Linked DNA regions of Rattus norvegicus. The protein of the gene in region 1 purifies or fractionates together with the protein of each later gene. This does not show direct contact. Links are inferred from orthologs where the notes say so. Each region holds a gene or a part of one and is shown in the gene's direction. Other genes may lie near its edges.

Region 1 (3,229 bases):
TCCTATTTCCTGAGTTGTTGTTGCTGTTGAGATGTCCCTTGTGAATGATGTCCCTTAGCCCACATGTACACCTCTAATGCTGTTTACACCTGGAGTTGAGAAGCACAGCAGCCTTGACACGTGGGGATAATCTAAAAATCTGTCTGCCCCAAGTAAAAGCCAGATGGCTGAGCTGTTTGGTGGTGTAAGGTCTTGAAAGATAAGTGTTTTTATCATGATCTTAAAAGCAAAGATCTTTAAATGTGGGACTTTAACTTTAGAAGTGCCACTAAAGGTCGCTTCTGTTCCAGTAGAGGAAGGAACCAGAGCTAGACATGCTGTGACACTACCATGCTCCTGGCACTTGGAAGGCTAAGGTAGGAGGGTCATTAACTGCAGATATCATGGGCTGTGGTAGTGAGACCCTGTCTCAAATCTCAAAACAAACAAACATGACAGTCTAGTGAAAAAGCGGGTAGCTTGAAAATGCAAGGCCATATAGTCCAGCTATTTGTACCAGGGTGCTGCTTCCTGTTTGTATCACTCCAGCACATACCAGCTCCATGTTTGCTGTGTTGGAAGTTGTAAGAATTCCGATGTCATTGCATACAGAGGTTTACTTCATAATCTGACTGCTGGTTTCTGGTAAATAGGCTGTACCACTGCAGGACCTCATTTTAATCCTCACTCTAAGAAACATGGCGGTCCAGCGGATGAAGAGAGGTGAGCAGCATTCTCTCTATGCATGGTGGTGGAGAGGGGTCTGTGGAAAACACCTGAAGACAGAACTGAGTGGTCTCACTGCCTTTTCTTTTGTATGTTTCCATTCACCCAACTCCCACATCCCCAAGTACTGGAATAGTTTATATTGGGTGAAGGAGCTGACAAATGTGGACTCTTAAGTGATTTAGTTTTGTAGCATTTATTGAAGATGAACTAATACAAGTGCCAAAAGGAACCAATACAGAAAATATCATGGATAACAGTACTATCAGTCACTAGCAAAGTAAATCATTGTATAATATACTAATGCAGATAATAAAAACTAGTTGAGATTCCGTTTGTATGTGAAACCTTAGGAAAGTCCTACATTTAAAGAGGGGCTAGCTTGCTTTTGGAATGGAGGCCTGGGAGCAAACCTTTGCTAATCAGGAGCTGACATCCTTTTCGAAAGTCCTAGACTGTGGCTCTCTCCTTTAAACTGGAAGAGCTATGTGTCAAGGTATCCTGGCTACCTGTTTTGAAATTTGTGTTTCCAGACCTTTGTCTGGAAAAGCCATCATATTTGATAGTGTATGTGCACTCTTTAATCCACTCATAGCATTTGACTTCGATGTGAATTTAGCTATTGAACTCTATTGATGTGAAATAGATATCATTGCTTATCCACCTGGTGCTGTTTTAATGTTAGGCATGTTGGAGACCTGGGCAATGTGGCTGCTGGAAAGGACGGTGTGGCCAATGTGTCCATTGAAGATCGTGTGATCTCACTCTCAGGAGAGCATTCCATCATTGGCCGTACTATGGTGGTAAGTTTCCATATAGTAGTAGATGTAGGATTTCTTCTAACATAGTTATGTACCTTTCCATGACTTCGTGGTGGTGGTTAAACTAGTTCCTAAAAGATCACATAAATTGGTAAGAGTTCAGAATAGGAAAAAATATTATTTTATTGGATGTAATAGTAAAGAATTAATTTGCCTAGGTCAGTTAAGAACGCTGTTCTGCTGAAGTGCGGTAGAAAGCTGGTTACATTTGATCAGACTGGATCTGAGTTGAGGATACAATAGTCTTTAGTTTAAAACAGCTGGATTTTCTTGCCATGATTGCCCCCTTACAGTTAATCATTTCGTTGAGCTTAAAATCTGCGATGGATGTCAGTATTCAAGTCTGCAGGTTATCGCTTGGTTACCATATGGGAGCCGTCTTCCCAAGTTACCCTCGGGAGATGAATCTGGTTCATGCAGAACACCAAGTAGTAAAAGCTCTTGCCCACTTCGGGCAGCTAACTTTTCAGTAGGCACTTCCTTTCAGTTGACCCTTTATCCTTAGAATTTTCTTCAGCCCTATTGGTGAAGCAGAACAATCATTCATAAATGTTCTAAAAATAAAATTTAAAATCTTGTTGCTAAGTAAAGATATTTAGAATTGCCTCTTATGTGTAGGCCTATAGTTCACTCACCAAGAGATTTTGATAGAGAAATTTGTAAGAATGACTACTGTACAGTGGGGTGAGGGTGAGGGCTAAGATCAGCATGTGCCTGGTAGTTATTTGGGTCCTTAGTATTCATCTAGAAATAGCCACGAGCAAGGAAACACTTAGTAGTCTGCTTTTAGCTGATAGCATAAAAATTAGCTTATTGATTTACTAATAGATTTGAACATTTTCTAATATACATGGTCCTTTGAAGTATTGCTGGGAAGAAGTGCTAATTACTTGATCACCGAAACCTAAATGTTCTTAATTCTTTTCAAAGGTCCACGAGAAACAAGATGACTTGGGCAAAGGTGGAAATGAAGAAAGTACAAAGACTGGAAATGCTGGAAGCCGCTTGGCTTGTGGTGTGATTGGGATTGCCCAATAAACATTCCCTATGTGGTCTGAGTCTCAGACTCATCTGCTGTCCTGCTAAACTGTAGAAAAAAACCAAACCATTAAACTGTAATCTTAACAGTTGTTAACTGTGTGACTCCTTTGACTTGCTCTAAGGACTTGCAGTGAGAGGTGACTGACGATGTTTGGAGGATGTGTAGAACTTCCTGAATGTGTACAACTCATTGAACTAAAATCTGTTGTTTCTGTGCCAGACCTCACTGGTGTTAAGCTGAAATTCTCATTCAAGCCTCTCTCTCTCTCTGTGTGTGTCTGTGTGTGTGTGTGTGTGTGTGTGTGTGTGTGTGTGTGTGTGTGTGTGTGTGTGTGTGTGTGAGAGAGACTGAGACTTATTTAGAGCCTCGAGAGATAGAGACTTATTTCAAGCCTATTAATGTATACCAAAAAGACCTAAGCTCTATACACTGAGCATCAACAACAGACTCAATGAGGCTCTCATAGTATTTAATTTTGAAAGTGTTTCATGTGATACCATCAAAATGACGTGTGGTAGCCCAAACCGGATTTGATCTTAGAAAATTTTCTGCCCTTTGTTATCATCAGAAATTACTGAAAGCTCTCTTTAAGATTCAGAGTACCTAACCTTATTTTAAAATCGTATTAGAGTTAGAAGCCATGATTTAAGATAAAGCCCTT
Region 2 (3,741 bases), on another chromosome or scaffold:
GGGCTTTGCACTTGCTGTTCCCTTTTCCTGGGACACTGTCTCCCAATCCTTGCGATTTTAACTCTGCTCGAATTTCCGGCTATATTGGTTACTACCATCTCCACCGCACCTTCCCAAGTTGACTGGCAGGTTTCTGTCTCCGTCTCCACCCTTCTAGCACTCTGTTTATAAGGCAGGCTATCAGATGACCAAGGAAGCCCGCAGGGCAAGACGTTGAGAACAAAAGGTAGTGCGGTTGGAGCACGGCAGTAAATTTTCAGTAAAATGAAACGGAACGGAATAAAAAAAAAAAACAACTCACAGATGAGAAACCAACGCGCTCAGAGAAAAGTGCCCGGTCCTCTGGGACACAGCCTGTGCTGAGCTGAGCAGAGATTTGAAGTCAGCCACAGAGGGTCTGTTTGTAGGGCCCAGGCCAAGTGAGGCCTGGGGGGGGGGGTGTCGGGGGACACCTTCCCATATCGTCAATCCCGCCCACCTGCTAGTTTACCCTTTTGTCGCTGCAGCCTCAGTAGCTCCCAGGTGTCACCTTCACCCTGCTGCCCAAAGTACTGGTAGTCTGGGTTGATCTGAGTAGGGGACACCAGACCTAGAAACATTAGAGGGGTCAGCAATGGAGCCAGGTGGCTCCGGGCCATGCCCGGACTCCAACCGACTCCAGCGCGCCCCCGTGGCCAAGGCCCGCGCGGAACCCACAGCACAGACAATCCCGGCGTCCCTAAGGACACACCCCATCCAACCCTTGGGCAAGCTTGTGGACCGGGCCGCGTCTCCCCCTCTGCAGCCGCAATGGATGCGACCGCGGTACTGTCCCGCCCACCTCCCCGCGCCCTGCCTGCTGTGGTTTGGGCCACGCATAAAAGGCTCCCGGGCCTAGGGCTCTCTCGGTTCTGAGATCTCTTTCCTGTCTCTGCTCGTGTCTGGTCGTCCGCGTGTCCGGCTCTTGCCCACGCAGGTATGGAAACCTAGAGTGCACATGAATGGGAGGAGCCCCATTGGTGTGATGCTGGCCTCATCACCACCTCCATGATGGAGGTCTTTGTTTTCTATGCTGAATGGTGGCCGCTTTTGTCCTTGCGGGGGGGAAACCAAGGCCGGAGCCCTGGCTTGCAGGCTGGGTCATCGAGCTCACAGCCCTTCGCTCTTGGCTTAGCTATCCCATTCTGGAACTAAGGGCTCAGGTCCCCCTTTCCCCGCACTCGGTCTGACTCCATAATTCGGGTAGCAACCGTGACCCCATCACTCTTGCCCTGTTTAGGGGGGCGGGTATCCAGAGGCCTTGCTGTCCTTGTACTGGGAGGGTGAATATGAGTGCTGCTTCTCCCACCTCTCTTGGATTTAGTGTCTAGGCTTAGCACCAAAAGTGACCTTGGGAAGGCAAGACAAAGGGTCTTCTGAAGCACTAAAGACCAAGCTTGCATGGGTCTCTGATTTCAGTCATGGCCTCCGGCAACGCGCACATCGGAAAGCCTGCCCCTGACTTCACGGCCACCGCCGTGGTGGATGGTGCCTTTAAGGAAATCAAGCTTTCAGACTACAGAGGTGAAGCTGCTCGGAGGGGGAACGGGAGGGGACAGGGTCTACATTTGAAAGAAGCTAGCACTAACTTCTCTTCCGCTCTCCTCTTCCCTAGGGAAGTACGTGGTCCTCTTTTTCTATCCACTGGACTTCACTTTTGTTTGCCCCACGGAGATCATCGCTTTTAGCGACCACGCTGAGGACTTCCGAAAGCTAGGCTGCGAGGTGCTGGGAGTGTCTGTGGACTCTCAGTTCACCCACCTGGCCTGGTACGGGGCTCCGGGAGGAGGGCTGCAGGGGCCGCGAAGTAGGTGATGGGGTGGGAGGTGTGGAGAGGATGAAGGAAGGCCCAAACTCTAGGGACAGACTGTGTCTTCCCGTTCTTCATCTTATAAAGAATGGAAACAATGACACCCAAGCCCATACGATGATGACAGTAATTAGCATTTGGCACCTTATTGGAAGGTACCTGCAGACGCAGTCTCGGTTCTCTGGAGACAGGCTGCCTTGCTGTATTTCGCTATTCTCCATAGTGATCCGCTGTGCTCCATACCAGAGCGAGATGATGGTGGGAACAGTCTATGCGCATGCACGCGCGCGCCCCCCCAAACACACACACACACACACACACACACACACACACACTTTTTTTTTTTTTTTTTTTTTTTGGTTCTTTTTTTCGGAGCTGGGGACCGAACCCAGGGCCTTGCGCTTCCTAGGCAAGCGCTCTACCACTGAGCTAAATCCCACACACACACTTTTTAAAAGAACTAGGAATCAATTCCAGGGCTCACTCCTGCAAGGCAAGTGCCCTGTGCCCTGCCATTGAACTGACTAATAACTTTAATAACTTTAATATGGGTTCTCTACTGCAAGTTACTCAGGCCCACAGGCACAAGTGAAGCCATTTGAAGATGATGCTTTATCTGGGGCCATTCTCCCCCCAGCTACGCTGCCATCTCACAGGGTGGGGTGGGTGGAACAGCCCAGCCTTGCTTTAAGTCCTTTATCTCTTGTCTCCAGTCCTCCTACTCCAGCCCTTATCATTCTGGAGGCCATGAGAGAGAATTCTACAACTACTATACTCGGCATCCTAAGGTCCTAACTCTGTTTCTCTCACCCTCAGGATCAATACCCCACGGAAGGAGGGAGGCTTGGGCCCACTGAATATCCCTCTGCTTGCTGATGTGACTAAAAGCTTGTCCCAGAATTACGGCGTGTTGAAAAATGATGAGGGCATCGCTTACAGGTACAGCAGGGACACCCTGGCTCCAGGTGCCCGCAGCTCAAGGCTAAAGGAACCACTGTGTCTGGTGGGGTGTGGATGTTCCCTTCCCTGGCCCTGGCAGTAGGCCGTCTCCCAGCTCCTCACTGTGGACCCTCTTGTCTTTAGGGGCCTCTTTATCATCGATGCCAAGGGTGTCCTTCGCCAGATCACAGTCAACGACCTACCTGTGGGACGCTCTGTAGATGAGGCTCTCCGCCTCGTCCAGGCCTTTCAGTATACAGATGAGCATGGGGAAGGTGAGTGAACGTTCACAAATAGACAGAGACCGCCACTGCTCTCTGCCCGGCATCTTTGTGGGAGAGAGATTAAAGCCCCATCCCAGCGAGAGCTGAAGAGATAACCAGCAGGTAAAATCACTGGCTGCTCTTTCAGAGGACCAGGCTTGGGTTCTTAGCATCTCTGTGATGGCTCATAACATCCATAATTCTAGTCTTGGGGGGGGGGATCGGATGCTCCCCTCTGACCTCCTTCTGCACCAGGCATGCACATGGTACACAGGTAAACACGTAAACGGGATGGATGGGCTGGAGAGTTGAGTTGGCTCAGTGGTTAAGGGTACTTGCAGAAAAGCAGGTTCCAGTACCCACAGTGATGCTCACCAGCTCCTTGGGTACACAGACACATAAAATAAAAAAATAATAATAAAAGACAGGTTCTTAGGTCCTGATTGTAGAGGTGGTAGAATGGATAGGATATGGCATGGTGGCACACACCTTCAAAAACAAAACAAAACATACATACATACATACATAGAATGAATATATATATGCAAAACATATAACATTTAAAAATAACATGCCATATTCAAATTCAGTTCTTTGCCTGTAGGGAGTGTCTAGGATGGGGCAAGGATGCTAAGAGGGAAGATTTGGGAGCCTGGTAGATGACTGTAGAAGGTATTTGAACTAGGAATGCTAGGTTTGCCTGCCATCCCA

The links.
Region 2: the proteins of Sod1 (region 1) and Prdx2 fractionate together in Homo sapiens (co-fractionation; 3 studies listed by BioGRID, with this or other methods). This does not show direct contact. The link is inferred for Rattus norvegicus from reciprocal best matches to the Homo sapiens genes SOD1 and PRDX2.

The regions. Positions count from the first base shown.
Region 1 is NC_086029.1:42,945,744-42,948,972, forward strand, and holds the end of Sod1 (superoxide dismutase [Cu-Zn]), read left to right. Parts: intron 1-632; coding exon 633-702; intron 703-1,390; coding exon 1,391-1,508; exon of another isoform or gene 1,509-1,510; intron 1,511-2,456; coding exon 2,457-2,564; 3' UTR 2,565-2,656; downstream 2,657-3,229. UniProt on the Homo sapiens protein: Destroys radicals which are normally produced within the cells and which are toxic to biological systems.
Region 2 is NC_086037.1:40,088,151-40,091,891, reverse strand, and holds the start of Prdx2 (peroxiredoxin-2), read left to right. Parts: upstream 1-909; 5' UTR 910-955; intron 956-1,342; exon of another isoform or gene 1,343-1,437; 5' UTR 1,438-1,439; coding exon 1,440-1,542; intron 1,543-1,633; coding exon 1,634-1,787; intron 1,788-2,644; coding exon 2,645-2,767; intron 2,768-2,911; coding exon 2,912-3,042; intron 3,043-3,741.